Linked DNA regions of Saccharomyces cerevisiae S288C. The protein of the gene in region 1 interacts with the protein of each later gene in a biochemical or structural test. Each region holds a gene or a part of one and is shown on either strand. Other genes may lie near its edges.

Region 1 (2,808 bases):
AAGATTATAAAATTGATGTCGGTAAAATTAAACAAGTGAGCTTAACAAACCTCCAAGACGATTGGATGGGCGTTATCCTTGTTAATAGTACACAATCCGATCCACTCATTAACACGCCTTTCAAGACGGAATTAATGACACGTTTGAAAAAATTAAATGAAAAGATAATGATAAAAGTTGGTCCCACGATTGAGTATCACAAACAACCAAACAAGTTGCACACTGTCCGCTCAAAGATAAGCGATTCAGCACCGAAATACGGTGACATCTACAAGTCAAGTACAATATACGTGCGTCGTGGACACCCTGCTAACTCCAAATCGAATAAAAAACCTAAGAATCCAGGTGGGTTGAGCGGGAAACCTATCAAAAGCAAAAAGAGTAAACACAAATCTACTCATAAGCATACACATAGCCATAGAAGTCATAGGGATGCTGCAAAAAAGCAACCTCTCCCTTCGCAAAAACCTGTGAATCCGTTATCTTTGGCAGCTACCGCTGCACAGGCAGCATACAATCCTAAACCGGATAAGACCGTACCAATAAAGTCATCTGCAATCCCTGCTGCAAAAGTAAGCTCGAAACACAGCTCAAAACCCTCATCGAAGGAAAAAGTCGCAGTAAAGAAAGCCTCCTCAAGCCACAAATCCTCATCCGCCAAGCAAAACCAGGTATCGATGCCACCTTCAAAAGGGGTTGAAAAAAATAAAGAACCGTTAAAGGAGACAACTGCAACTGCAACTGCAAACATACCAATACCACCACCCCCTCCCCCCATGGGCCAACCAAAGGATCCGAAATTCGAAGCTGCATACGACTTTCCAGGTTCCGGATCATCTTCGGAGTTGCCATTAAAAAAGGGCGATATTGTATTTATAAGCAGAGATGAACCTAGTGGTTGGTCTTTAGCAAAGCTTCTCGATGGAAGCAAAGAAGGTTGGGTTCCTACTGCTTATATGACTCCTTATAAAGACACAAGAAATACGGTGCCTGTTGCAGCGACAGGGGCAGTGAATGACGTTACAAATCAGAAATCAAGCCAAATCGACAATACCATTTCAAGTGCACAAGAAGGTGTACAGTTTGGAAGTGCAACAGTTGGACCCACTAGTGATAATCAGAGTAATCCGGTGGGGACGTTTAGCGACGGTTTAGCTTCTGCATTGGCAGCAAGAGCAAACAAAATGCGGGCGGAAAGTGCTGACGATGATGATAATGACGATGGCGATGATGATGATGACTGGTAATTAACATGAATATATAGATGTTTAGTCTCTTATAGAATGGTTCTTCGTGCATGCCTCTTAACATACCAAAAGTGCATTACATATACTTTTAAACATACTCTCGCAGAAAGTTAAAGTCCCTTTTTTTTTTTTTTTTTCATTTTTTGTTTGTATTTTCCCGTTTTGAAAAACTCCCACTTTAATGCAGGACATCGTTCAAAACAAGCTTTAAAGATTTGACAGTAAAATCCTCACTTTACTCAAGACATTTTTCTCAAAAAAAGAGAAAGCACAGTAAACCCTCCTTAATTTTCCTTTTGCATAATACCAGACACTTAAAAATGAGCAAAGACAAAGATATCAAAGTCACTCCTGGAACTTGTGAATTAGTTGAACAAATACTCGCCTTACTCTCCCGGTATCTCTCATCTTATATTCACGTGCTGAACAAGTTCATCAGTCATTTGCGAAGGGTAGCTACGCTACGATTCGAGAGAACTACTTTGATTAAATTTGTTAAGAAATTGAGATTTTACAACGATTGTGTGTTAAGCTATAATGCATCAGAGTTTATCAATGAAGGTAAAAACGAATTAGACCCAGAGGCGGATTCGTTTGACAAGGTAATTTTACCAATAGCTTCAATGTTTGTTAAATGTGTTGAAACGTTTGACTTACTGAACTATTATCTAACGCAGTCATTACAAAAGGAAATTTTATCTAAAACTTTGAACGAGGACCTAACGCTAACAGCAGAGTCCATATTAGCCATTGACGATACCTACAATCATTTCGTGAAATTTTCTCAATGGATGATTGAGTCTTTGCGTATAGGCAGCAACCTGCTAGATTTAGAAGTTGTTCAATTTGCCATTAAATGCGCAGATGAGGACGGAACGAATATCGGAGAAACTGATAATATCTTCTTGCAGGAGATTCTTCCTGTCAACTCCGAAGAAGAATTTCAGACCTTGTCAGCTGCGTGGCACTCCATTTTAGATGGTAAGCTGAGCGCCTTGGACGAAGAATTTGATGTTGTCGCTACTAAATGGCATGACAAATTTGGTAAATTGAAAAACTGAGGCCTTCAGTTTTTAGCTCAAAAAGAGCAAATAAGTACCACTAGTTAATAGAACATATATATATACATGAATAGCCTCATCACATAGCACAGAAAGTAAGCTTTCAAAACACTGATGATCGGCTCTTATTCTGGCGTACTCATTTTCAGCATCTCAAACCGCGCTGTTTTTTTCTCACTTTTTGATACAATAGGTATGCAAAGGAGAATGGCAGGTGTGCCAAGGAAAAAAAATATGAGGAACTATAGCCTAAAATGAAGCCTCCTCTGATGTGGGAGGGACCCCAATTTAGGTCAATAATGATTTTTTAAATTTATATTCTTGTCTTAATGAAACTTGAGTCAAGTCGACCAGTTTCCTGACGATTTTGATATAGAATAATATTGCTCGTTTGGCCGGCAACAGATTACATAAGAAGCAGATGGATGATATAAGCGGAAGGCAAACTTTACCTCGAATAAACCGTTTGTTGGAGCACGTGGGAAATCCCCAAGATAGTT
Region 2 (5,484 bases), on another chromosome or scaffold:
CATGAAATACAGAGGGCTCCCGCTAGCGATGATGAAGATAGGATTCAAATTAAACCCGTGAACGACGAGGATGACACGTCGGTCATGATCACTTTTAACCAATCTCTTTCGCCCTTCATCATCACTCTGACTTTTGTCGCATCCATATCCGGTTTCATGTTTGGTTACGACACTGGTTATATATCCAGTGCGCTGATCTCGATCGGCACAGATCTGGACCACAAGGTACTTACTTATGGGGAGAAGGAAATTGTCACTGCGGCTACCTCTCTGGGAGCTTTGATTACCAGTATTTTCGCCGGTACTGCAGCTGACATATTTGGTAGGAAACGTTGTTTAATGGGTTCGAATCTGATGTTTGTCATTGGCGCAATCTTACAGGTCTCCGCACACACATTCTGGCAAATGGCTGTTGGTAGACTGATCATGGGTTTCGGTGTCGGTATCGGCTCCTTGATCGCGCCACTTTTCATCAGTGAAATTGCTCCCAAAATGATCAGAGGGAGACTAACTGTCATCAATTCCTTATGGTTGACTGGTGGTCAATTAGTCGCTTACGGTTGCGGTGCTGGGTTAAACTACGTCAACAATGGTTGGAGAATTCTTGTTGGATTGTCACTAATTCCCACTGCTGTGCAATTCACATGCCTGTGCTTTTTACCTGACACTCCAAGATACTACGTTATGAAGGGCGACTTGGCAAGGGCTACTGAGGTGTTGAAGAGAAGTTACACTGACACTTCGGAGGAAATCATTGAACGTAAGGTGGAAGAACTTGTTACTTTGAATCAATCTATTCCTGGTAAGAATGTCCCTGAAAAAGTCTGGAATACCATCAAAGAATTGCACACAGTACCATCTAATCTAAGGGCTTTGATCATTGGTTGTGGTTTACAAGCAATTCAACAGTTTACCGGTTGGAATTCGTTGATGTATTTCTCTGGTACCATCTTCGAAACTGTCGGTTTCAAAAATTCTTCCGCTGTTTCAATCATCGTGTCCGGTACCAATTTTATTTTCACTTTAGTTGCCTTTTTTTCCATTGACAAAATAGGCCGTAGAACCATATTATTGATTGGATTACCAGGCATGACCATGGCTTTAGTCGTGTGCTCTATTGCTTTCCATTTTCTAGGTATTAAGTTTGATGGCGCTGTCGCTGTGGTGGTTTCCTCCGGTTTCTCCTCTTGGGGTATTGTGATCATCGTATTTATTATCGTATTTGCTGCGTTCTACGCTCTTGGTATCGGTACTGTTCCATGGCAACAATCGGAACTATTCCCCCAAAACGTGAGAGGTATTGGGACTTCATATGCAACTGCTACAAACTGGGCTGGTTCACTGGTTATTGCATCCACATTTTTGACCATGTTACAGAATATCACTCCTGCAGGTACATTTGCCTTTTTCGCGGGATTGTCGTGCTTATCAACCATTTTCTGCTACTTCTGTTATCCAGAATTATCGGGATTGGAGTTAGAAGAGGTACAAACTATTTTGAAGGACGGGTTCAACATCAAAGCCTCGAAAGCTTTGGCCAAGAAGAGAAAACAGCAAGTTGCCAGAGTTCATGAATTGAAATATGAACCAACTCAAGAGATTATAGAGGATATATAGTCCTTTCACGAGGTAAAAGGAAGGAGACGCAATTGAATATTCAAATACATAGTAGAAAATAAATAAAAATAAATTACAAGATAGAAAAAAGTTCATTGTATTTAAGTCGAACTAATTGTTGTATGCATATATAGAAGATTAACTAACCCGGCATTGAAGACCTTTTTTTTTTTTCACCTTGAGAGAAATACTGAAAATTTTTTTTGCTGGGATGAGATGAGATGCCTACCTAAAGTATTTCGAAGGTGAAAGCGTTTTATTATAGAGTACTGAAATAAAGCACAATCAGGAATAACAAATTAACTGACAATGGCACCTTTAACCAAGAAGACAAACGGAAAACGTTCTGCTAAAGAAGTTAGTCATTCAGAAAAGAAATTAGCCAAAAAACCTAGAATTTCTATTGATTCGTCTGATGAAGAATCAGAACTATCCAAAAAGGAAGATGCTGTATCCTCTTCATCAGATGATGATGATTTGGATGATTTAAGTACCAGTGACTCTGAAGCAGAAGAAGAAGCTGACGAATTAGATATTTCCGATGACAGTGAGGAACATGAAAATGAGAATGAAGAGAAAGAAGGAAAGGACAAATCTGAAGGAGGTGAAAATGGAAATCACACTGAACAAAGAAAACTGCTAAAAGAAAGGAAAATGCAAAGAAAATCTGGTACCCAAGTGCAACAAATTAAATCCGTCTGGGAAAGATTGCGTGTGAAGACCCCACCTTTACCAAAACAGATTCGTGAAAAACTTTCCAACGAAATCTGGGAGCTATCTAAGGACTGTATCAGTGATCTTGTCTTAAAGCATGATGCTTCCCGTATTGTTCAAACTTTAGTCAAGTATTCGTCCAAAGATCGTCGTGAACAAATTGTCGATGCTTTAAAGGGAAAATTTTATGTTCTAGCCACATCTGCGTACGGTAAGTATCTATTGGTTAAGTTACTGCATTATGGTTCAAGAAGTTCAAGGCAAACTATAATAAATGAATTACACGGTTCTTTGAGAAAATTAATGAGACATCGTGAGGGTGCCTACGTTGTTGAAGATTTATTTGTTCTTTATGCCACACATGAACAAAGACAACAAATGATTAAAGAGTTTTGGGGCTCTGAATATGCTGTATTTAGAGAAACCCACAAAGATTTGACCATTGAGAAAGTTTGTGAAAGTAGCATTGAAAAAAGGAATATTATCGCCAGAAACTTGATTGGTACCATTACCGCATCAGTAGAAAAGGGTTCCACCGGCTTTCAAATTCTACATGCTGCTATGAGAGAATATGTGAAAATAGCCAACGAAAAGGAAATATCTGAAATGATCGAATTGCTTCATGAACAATTCGCTGAATTGGTGCATACTCCAGAAGGTTCAGACGTTGCTTGTACTTTGGTTGCTAGAGCTAACGCCAAGGAAAGAAAGTTAATTTTAAAGGCTTTGAAAAACCACGCCGAAAAATTGATCAAAAATGAGTACGGTAATATTGTCTTCATTACAATTCTGAACTGTGTTGACGATACAGTTTTAGTATTCAAGACTTTCAGTCCTACTGTTAAGGAACATTTGCAAGAATTCATAATTGATAAGTTTGGTAGAAGGCCTTGGTTATACATACTATTAGGTTTGGACGGTAAGTATTTCTCACCTATCGTCAAGAATGAATTATTGAGATACATTGAACTGTCCAAAGCCACCTCTAAGAAGGATCCTTTACAAAGAAGGCACGAACTTTTGTCAAAATTCGCCCCCATGTTTTTAAGCACTATATCAAAAGATTATTCCAGTATATTGACAGAGAATCTAGGCTGTCAGTTCATTGCCGAAGTTCTAATAAACGATGAGTTGTACGCGCAGCTGAATGAAAAAGACCAAGAAAAGTATCAACAGGTCTTAAACAACATTTTAACTACTTTTAAGGGTGACATAACCGAAGAAGAGCACCCAATACATAGAGCATTTTCTACTAGACTATTAAAGGCACTAATTCAAGGTGGTAAATGGAATAACAAAGAAAAAAAGGTCATACCATTAAAAAATGTTCAAGGCTTAGGCGTTCCATTTGCTGAAAAGTTATACGATGAAATTATTGACTCCTCCAACTTGTTAGAATGGATTAATAACGCTGATAGTTCATTTACAATTGTTGCACTGTATGAAACGTTAAAAGATCAAAAAGAAGGGAAACCATTTTTGAAGGATTTGAGAGGAGTTCAGAGTAAAATCACCACTGATGAAAGTAACAAAGGCTCTCAGCTTTTGGCTAAATTGTTAAAATAAATTTTCTACGATAAAGTCACAATATTTGGTATATAAGCATCTGTACAATAATAATAAAAAGCTTGATCTCATTGAAAGTGCAGGTATATATAATTGTCTCCTAAAAACTCCTTACATCGCATAATATCTGTTGAAGATACCGTTCCGATGGGAAAAAAAGGCAAGTTTAACTGGAAATATTCATATGTACTTACTATTTTATAACGACATTAGTGAATCAGAACTATCATAACAGTCAAGGAGACTACCTTTTTTTGGTTGCAACCATAATATTATAGAACCATGGTAAAAAAGAAAACGAATAATGACAAAGGAAAAGAAGTAAAGGAAAATGAAGGAAAGCTCGATATAGATAGCGAATCCTCACCTCACGAAAGAGAAAATGACAAAAAAAAAACAGAAGATGATAGTCTACGTGCAACAGAAAGTGAAGAGACGAATACACATAATGCTAACCCAAATGAAACAGTACGAGCTGATAAATTTTCCCAGGAAGAGAGTCGACCAATCGAAGACAGTCCACATACTGATAAAAACACAGCACAAGAAAGCTGTCAGCCTAGCAGCGCAGAAGATAATGTCATAAATACAGATATTACAAGCTTAAATGAAAAAACCTCCACGAATGATGAACAGGAAAAAGGGTTGCCACTGAAAATAAGCGAAGGTCCTTTTACAATCTCTACCCTATTAGACAATGTACCATCTGACTTGATATACACATGTTGTGAGGCGTATGAGAACCACATATTCTTGGGAACAACTACAGGTGATCTTTTACATTACTTTGAACTTGAACGTGGAAACTATATGCTTGTGTCGCAAACAAAGTTTGATGCAGAATCAAATTCGAAGATAGACAAAATCCTTCTTTTACCTAAAGTAGAAGGCGCACTAATATTATGTGATAACGAACTAGTTTTATTTATTCTCCCAGAATTTGCACCAAGGCCCAACACAACTAGACTTAAAGGTATTAGTGATGTCGTTATTTGTAATTTTTCCCGAAGCTCGAAGGCTTATAGAATATATGCATTTCACGCAGAAGGCGTAAGACTACTCAAAATATCTGCAGATTCATTAGTACTTACCAAAGCTTTTAATTTCAAACTAATAGATAAAGCTTGTGCGCACGAAGAAACATTAATGGTTTCGAAGTTAAATAGTTACGAACTTATAAATCTAAAGTCGTCACAGGTAATTCCATTATTTCGAATAAGTGAGACTGACGAAGACTTAGAACCTATAATAACCAGTTTCAATGAACAGAGTGAATTTTTAGTTTGTTCTGGAGGAGGATCATACGATAGTGGGGCGATGGCCTTAGTGGTAAATCATCATGGCGACATAATAAAAGGAACTATAGTGCTAAAAAATTATCCAAGAAATGTAATTGTTGAGTTTCCCTACATAATCGCTGAGTCTGCTTTCCAGTCGGTTGACATATATTCTGCCTTGCCGAGTGAAAAATCCCAGTTGTTGCAAAGTATAACTACTTCTGGATCGGATTTAAAAATTTCAAAATCTGACAATGTATTCACTAATACCAATAATTCTGAAGAATTCAAAGAAAAAATATTCAATAAG
Region 3 (7,848 bases), on another chromosome or scaffold:
TTAGCTCTTTAACGATCTTGTCAAAATTTGCAATGTTTTTAACAAGGTCATTTTCATCTTTCAGAACCTCATCTTTCAAACTGTGCTTTAGTAAAGCTTCTGTCTGCTGTAACTGCAATCCGATATGACGCTGATAGTAGTCTAATTCATCTGAATTTAGCGAAAGATTCGAACTACTATATGTGATATTTCCAGGAGGTTCAAGAGGATCAACAGCCACTGACTGTGAGAATGACGTCGATGATGAAGACGATGAAGAAGAAGACAACGAAGATGAGGACGACTGCGAAAACGATGCATTGCAGGCGTCTTTTGGCGAAAGCCCAATGGGATTAGCAACGGCAGGAGAGGATTCGGAAGCTACAGAGGGCGGTCTTGAGGGCGAAACATGTTTCTTTGGTGAGCTTTCAAGATCATGGTAAAGCAAGCTCTGTAACGATATATCTGTCTGCGTGCTAGAACTCCCGTCTGATGAATGCGAATGATGTGTGGGTCGCTTGGAAGGCTTAGATATAACATTGGGCAATATTGGATCGAAAGCCGGCGCCAGTGCAGACGAATCCTTAGATTGCCCAGACGAAGAAGGCTCCATGGATTTCAAAAACCGGTGAACCAACCTTTTCTTGTCCTTCACGAAGGACCGGGAAGGTGATTTAAGACCGTACTTGTCGTTGTCTTTGTAATGGCGATGGGCTGGGTGCTGCTGGGCTTGCAACATCTTAAATGAGGGAAAATGGTCTTTGGCAGAGTATCCACCATCGAGAGGCTTTGATTCTACACTATGCTGCGGGAATGGTCCTTTAAAGGTGGCGACTACGTTAAATGGGTGTTTTGGCGAGAGTCCAGAAGACTTCATCGTACTGAGACTTCGTACTTTATCTGGTGCTGCGTTGAACATACAATCGCTGAACATTGCGGTCGAGGCAGACGTGTAATCCGGAATAACTTGACGATGCAGTTTATGACGAGCATGATGGTGCTCCATTTCATATTTCTGCTCTTTTTCGTGTAATGCAGCCAAATTACTGTGAGAGGCTTGCCATCCAACGTTTGGCTTAGTTTCAACAGTAGATTTGTGGCCAACATCTGGTGTTCCAGCGTCAATCATTTGCTTTACATCTTCCAGGGGTCTCTTTTCTACACCATCTTTGCTATTGCGATCTGTACCATCTATTCCGCTGCCTTTAGAAGAGCTCTTTATTTGAGCATTTTGCATTGTACCTGGACAACTACTGGACTACGTAAAAAACTGCCATCAATTTGTGTTATTCTTACTCTTTGAGACAATGTTTCATAACAATAGAACAATAGCTTTTTGACCTTCCCCTTATTTTATTTCAAAAGGTAACAGTTAGGGCTATTCTTAAACTTTCTTTAGGGTACACAATGAAAACATCAAGATTGAGTTAAAACCCTTAAAATAAAACTAGGTCTTTAAGAAACTCACTCTCCGGGTTATCCATAGAATGTTTACCATTCTTTAGGGTTCTGAACTAATGCGAAAAAAAAAAAAGAAAAGACTGAAAAATTCGAAAATATCTCGAAGTTTAGCAGTAGTAGATGAGAATAGGGTCTCTTTTATCGAAAACCTGCAATTGTAATACAACCTTTTTTTGAAAGTCAGCCTTTATTCTGATTCTGCATACTCAATTCCTCAATTCCTACGGAGTTATCACCTTTTTTTTTACCTTCTCTTCTTTTCTTATTGTTCTAGCTGAAAACATTGTTACCAGTTTGGCGAGACAATTTATTTTCAATACGATACCCTTTTGTTCTTCTTTTTATAATTCAATCTAATTCTAAAACACAAAAAAACAAAAAAAATCCTATAACCAGTTCTCCCGCATGTCATTTGAAGTAGGAACTAAGTGTTGGTACCCTCACAAAGAACAAGGCTGGATAGGCGGCGAAGTCACCAAGAATGACTTCTTTGAAGGAACGTTCCACTTAGAGTTGAAATTGGAGGATGGAGAAACTGTATCCATTGAAACAAATAGCTTCGAAAATGATGATGATCATCCCACGCTACCTGTACTACGAAACCCACCTATTTTAGAGTCTACTGATGACTTAACCACCCTATCATATCTGAACGAACCGGCAGTGCTGCATGCCATAAAAAAAAGATACATGAATGGACAGATATATACTTACTCTGGTATTGTCCTTATTGCCGCTAATCCCTTTGATAAAGTCGACCATTTGTACTCTCGCGAGATGATACAGAATTATTCTAGTAAGCGTAAAGATGAGCTGGAGCCGCACCTTTTTGCCATAGCAGAGGAGGCGTACAGGTTCATGGTCCATGAAAAGGCTAACCAGACTGTTGTAGTCAGTGGTGAATCCGGTGCTGGTAAGACCGTCTCTGCTAAATACATTATGAGATACTTTGCCTCAGTCCAAGAAAGCAACAATCGTGAAGGGGAAGTGGAAATGTCTCAAATCGAGAGCCAAATTTTAGCTACTAACCCGATCATGGAAGCCTTTGGTAACGCCAAAACTACCAGAAATGATAATTCCTCTCGTTTCGGCAAATATCTGCAAATTTTATTTGATGAGAATACTACCATCAGGGGGTCCAAAATTAGAACCTATCTCTTGGAAAAATCCAGGTTAGTTTATCAGCCAGAGACAGAAAGAAATTACCATATTTTTTACCAAATTTTGGAAGGATTGCCAGAACCGGTAAAACAAGAACTGCATTTGTCATCTCCCAAGGACTACCATTATACTAACCAAGGTGGACAGCCGAACATAGCTGGTATAGATGAAGCTCGAGAATACAAGATAACCACTGATGCCCTGTCATTAGTAGGTATAAACCACGAGACTCAGCTTGGAATTTTCAAAATTCTTGCAGGCTTGCTACATATAGGTAATATCGAGATGAAAATGACTAGAAACGACGCATCACTATCATCGGAAGAGCAAAACCTGCAAATCGCATGTGAATTATTGGGTATTGATCCCTTCAATTTTGCAAAATGGATTGTCAAGAAACAAATCGTCACAAGGTCTGAAAAAATTGTCACTAATTTGAATTACAATCAAGCGCTAATTGCTAGGGACTCTGTGGCGAAATTTATTTATTCCACGCTTTTTGATTGGCTAGTAGACAACATTAACAAGACATTATACGATCCTGAGCTGGATCAACAAGATCATGTCTTTTCCTTTATTGGTATTTTAGATATCTACGGGTTTGAGCATTTTGAGAAAAACTCATTCGAACAATTCTGTATAAACTATGCGAATGAAAAATTACAACAAGAGTTCAACCAGCACGTTTTCAAATTGGAGCAAGAAGAATATGTAAAGGAGGAAATTGAGTGGTCTTTCATTGAGTTCAGCGACAACCAACCTTGCATAGACTTGATTGAGAATAAACTTGGAATACTTTCTCTATTAGATGAAGAAAGTAGATTACCATCAGGCTCAGATGAATCATGGGCCTCAAAACTATATTCTGCCTTTAATAAACCGCCCTCAAATGAAGTTTTTTCGAAGCCAAGATTCGGACAAACGAAGTTTATAGTAAGCCATTATGCTGTTGATGTAGAATATGAAGTTGAAGGGTTTATTGAAAAGAATAGAGACAGCGTTTCCCTAGGTCATCTGGATGTTTTCAAAGCAACGACAAATCCAATTTTCAAACAAATTTTAGACAACAGAGAACTTAGGAGTGACGATGCTCCTGAAGAGCAAAATACTGAAAAAAAGATAATGATCCCAGCAAGATTAAGTCAAAAGAAACCAACCCTGGGATCTATGTTCAAAAAATCGCTCGGGGAATTGATGGCCATCATAAATTCTACTAATGTTCATTATATTCGTTGCATAAAACCAAATTCTGAAAAAAAGCCATGGGAGTTCGATAATTTGATGGTCTTATCGCAATTAAGAGCTTGTGGTGTGCTGGAAACAATCAGGATTTCATGTGCAGGCTTTCCATCAAGATGGACTTTTGACGAATTCGTTCAAAGATATTTCCTCCTGACGGACTACAGCTTATGGAGTGGAATTCTTTATAATCCAGACCTCCCAAAAGAGGCAATCGTCAACTTCTGTCAATCTATTCTAGATGCTACTATCTCTGATTCAGCAAAATACCAAATTGGTAATACCAAAATTTTCTTTAAAGCAGGAATGCTTGCATTTTTGGAAAAGCTAAGGACTAATAAAATGAATGAAATATGCATCATAATACAGAAAAAGATAAGGGCAAGATACTATAGGCTTCAGTATTTGCAGACCATGGAATCAATAAAGAAGTGCCAAAGCCAAATTAGAAGTTTGTTGGTTCGTACAAGGGTCGATCATGAGCTCAAGACAAGAGCTGCCATATTACTACAAACGAACATTAGAGCATTATGGAAACGGGAATACTATAGAGCTGCCATTGGGCAAATAATAAAACTACAATGTACCTGTAAAAGAAAATTGATTTTAGATAGTGTTAACAGGAAATTCATGCTCATGGCGGCAGTAATTATCCAAAGCTACATCAGATCATATGGTCACAAAACAGATTACAGAACATTGAAAAGGAGCTCCATTCTTGTACAAAGCGCCATGAGAATGCAGTTAGCTAGACGAAGGTATATAGTTCTGCAAAAAGAAGTTGAAGAACGGAATATTAGGGCTAGTTACGGGATTGGATTACTGGAGGAAGCTATCGAATTTAAGAACTCTTTCATTTTGAATCTAGAGATGTTAAATGACTCATATACAAGATTAACACAGTTGTTGCAGGGAGATTTGTCAAATATTCCATCTAAGCAAAGGCAAGAGTACGAAACGATAGTAAATGGTTATAATGATAAGATTTCCAAGCTGAAGACGTTACAAGTTGAAATCATGAATACTTTAAACAAGAAGAATGCCTTGAAGGAGAGAAAAAAGAAGCAATCTTCTTTAATACAGTCACATATGCAAAGTTTGGCTGCTATAAAAGGTAACAAACCTTCAAGATTAAGTGATGAAGTCAAATCAATGAAGCAAGAACTAGCGTTTATTGAAAACGTAATAGCACAAGATTTCACCACCACATATTCTGCTAATAAGAATGATAAAGTGAAAGGTTTGGGAATCGCAGGACAACAAGTAAAACCGAAGCTAGTCAATGTAATTCGTAGAGAATCAGGAAATCCTGATCTTCTAGAATTACTAATGGACCTGAATTGTTACACATTAGAAGTCACAGAAGGTTACTTGAAAAAAGTAAATGTTACTGAGGTGAATGGAGACAATGTTCTGGGTCCTATACACGTCATTACTACAGTGGTAAGTAGCTTAGTGAGAAATGGGTTATTGATTCAAAGTAGCAAATTCATCTCGAAAGTCCTATTGACTGTAGAAAGCATTGTTATGAGTCTACCAAAGGACGAAACAATGCTTGGTGGTATCTTTTGGTTAAGTAATCTTTCCAGACTTCCCGCATTTGCTGCAAATCAAAAAACATTATATGAAGCGAATGGTGGTGATGAAAAAGATAAGTTAACACTGATATATTTGAATGATTTGGAGAATGAAACTTTAAAAGTATTCGACAAGATTTATTCCACTTGGTTAGTGAAATTCATGAAGCATGCTTCAGCCCACATCGAGATCTTCGATATGGTTTTAAACGAGAAGCTATTTAAAAATTCTGGTGATGAGAAGTTCGCTAAATTATTCACATTCTTAAATGAATTTGATGCTGTCTTGTGTAAATTTCAAGTTGTTGACTCAATGCATACAAAAATTTTTAACGACACCCTGAAGTATCTGAACGTAATGCTATTTAATGACCTAATAACCAAATGTCCCGCGTTAAATTGGAAGTATGGGTACGAAGTGGATAGAAATATCGAGCGGTTGGTGAGCTGGTTTGAACCAAGAATTGAAGACGTTCGTCCCAATTTGATTCAAATAATTCAGGCTGTCAAGATATTACAGTTGAAGATAAGCAACTTGAACGAGTTCAAGTTACTATTCGATTTCTGGTATGCCTTGAATCCAGCCCAAATACAAGCAATTCTGTTGAAATACAAGCCTGCTAACAAGGGCGAAGCTGGAGTACCGAACGAAATCTTGAATTATTTAGCTAACGTGATCAAAAGAGAAAATCTGTCTTTGCCAGGGAAGATGGAAATTATGCTTTCTGCCCAATTTGACTCTGCTAAAAACCATCTGCGTTATGACACTAGTGCAATAACACAGAACAGCAATACAGAGGGCTTAGCTACTGTCAGTAAAATTATAAAATTAGACAGAAAATAAGAACAAAGTAAATATACGCCCATATATGTATATATGTATATATACATATATCCTACACTACATATGGAAGCTCCCTATATATATAGCATTGCGAGTGAACTTCTATCGACTAAAGTGAACAGCAATGGGGACGATGATTACAACAAGCAATATGATGATTACTAAAGCCAGACACATCTTCATTTTTAGATCCTTGTACCACATGGCTTTTCTGACCCTATTGGCACCCCTCTTAAAGCCTTGGGCTGAGACCGCTAGGTTATCGGCTTTATCTTCAATGGACGTTAATCTTTCACCTCTTTCTGCTACTTTATTTATGTTATCTCTCATTATTCCCACGGTATCATCAATTTCCTAAAAATAAACACGAAGAACGTATATGAATGTATACGCATAAGTATCAACGATGTAGAAAGTTAGTATAATGTTAATTTCCTAGATGGTACTCTGTGGCTTTCTGTACTTACAGCTTGTAGTTCCGCAGTCCTTGACTTAGACTGTACATTCTGGGGTCGTTCTTCATCGTGCTCGGATAGAGCATAAGGGTCAAAGGGAGTAGATGACGACATGGACAATGAATACGTTGCGCTTGCTATGTCTTTGGCGCAAATTTTCAATGTTTAACTAATACTTTTGACGATCTTTCTTATAGATGCTGTGGGAAAGACCCTTAAAAATGTCTGTTACCCTGCAATCAATGGTTGAAACAGCAGGAAGACGCATAATAAAGGCATATGTTTGAAGTTTGTTAGCGAATGAACAATGATAAAAGGAGTGATTGGAAGCTGAAGGTTGAGGATTTAGACTAGTTTTATATTACAACATGGTAGATGTGCAAAAGAGAAAAAAGTTGCTAGCCAAAGCTGCTGCCAGCGCTTCTATTCCGGCAATCAAAGGTTCTGTTCCGTTGGACTCGTATGATATAAAAATCATTCAATATAAGAACGCTCTTTACAAGCTGAATGAACTGAATAGGCTACTAAACGTTCTGGTACCGCATTTGAAGAAGAAAAGAGACAATGACGAGTCCTACAAAATTATTCCCCTCGTTAATTTCATCTTATCACTTTGTGAGGGTCCTATATTTAATGTAAGCCCCGTATTGGCTAAGAGGTACCATTTGCTCTGTCGATTCCAGCTGATAAAGCTAAGCGAAGTGCAGCAGAGATTATCAACTAATTTTATTGATGTAGAGGGCTGGATGTTTCCCGAGGAGGTACCCCTAGATCACTATAAATCGTGCATATACAATAATTCTCTACAATGGAAGATTTTAAATTCGCTGTCTTGCATTGCTCAAAATGCTATAAAAATTTATAATGCCAAGTTGAGACAGATTTTATTGGAAAGGGATGCGTACAAAGCTCGGTCACTTCCATTTGACACTTCAATAATTGAAGACTTGTTAAATCCAGTTGAAATGACATTGATTCTAGATTTAGCCGTTTTGATTAATGATCCAGTAAGGGATAAGTCCACCCATTCCTTTTACAAATTGCAATGGCAAGTGATGGAGAAACTGAACTCCTGTGTTCATTCGAAAATCTTCCCCATTCTAAGGACATATTACAACCAATTGCAGAAATT

Evidence for each region. Proteins that work in one complex are often made in the same cells at the same time.
Region 2: the proteins of SHE2 (region 1) and PUF6 form a complex in vitro, tested with the Saccharomyces cerevisiae proteins (one study listed by BioGRID).
Region 3: the proteins of SHE2 (region 1) and MYO4 form a complex in vitro, tested with the Saccharomyces cerevisiae proteins (3 studies listed by BioGRID, with this or other methods).

Annotation. Positions count from the first base shown.
Region 1 is NC_001143.9:194,788-197,595, reverse strand, and holds SHE2 (She2p), read left to right. Parts: upstream 1-1,567; coding exon 1,568-2,308; downstream 2,309-2,808. Other genes in the region: MYO3 (myosin 3), read left to right, coding at 1-1,247; RMA1 (putative tetrahydrofolate synthase), read left to right, coding at 2,730-2,808. UniProt on the Saccharomyces cerevisiae protein: RNA-binding protein that binds specific mRNAs including the ASH1 mRNA, coding for a repressor of the HO endonuclease. Part of the mRNA localization machinery that restricts accumulation of certain proteins to the bud and in the daughter cell.
Region 2 is NC_001136.10:1,439,846-1,445,329, reverse strand, and holds PUF6 (Puf6p), read left to right. Parts: upstream 1-1,926; coding exon 1,927-3,897; downstream 3,898-5,484. Other genes in the region: myo-inositol transporter ITR1, read left to right, coding at 1-1,617; CORVET complex subunit VPS3, read left to right, coding at 4,180-5,484. UniProt on the Saccharomyces cerevisiae protein: RNA-binding protein involved in post-transcriptional regulation. Component of the ASH1 mRNP which transports the ASH1 mRNA to the distal tip of the bud, where the ASH1 protein is translated and targeted to the daughter cell nucleus.
Region 3 is NC_001133.9:86,268-94,115, reverse strand, and holds MYO4 (myosin 4), read left to right. Parts: upstream 1-1,845; coding exon 1,846-6,261; downstream 6,262-7,848. Other genes in the region: FRT2 (Frt2p), read right to left, coding at 1-1,216; SNAP receptor SNC1, read right to left, coding at 6,364-6,615, 6,729-6,830; protein phosphatase regulator GIP4, read left to right, coding at 7,085-7,848. UniProt on the Saccharomyces cerevisiae protein: Part of the mRNA localization machinery that restricts accumulation of certain proteins to the bud and in the daughter cell. Recruited to specific mRNAs including the ASH1 mRNA, coding for a repressor of the HO endonuclease, via its interaction with SHE3.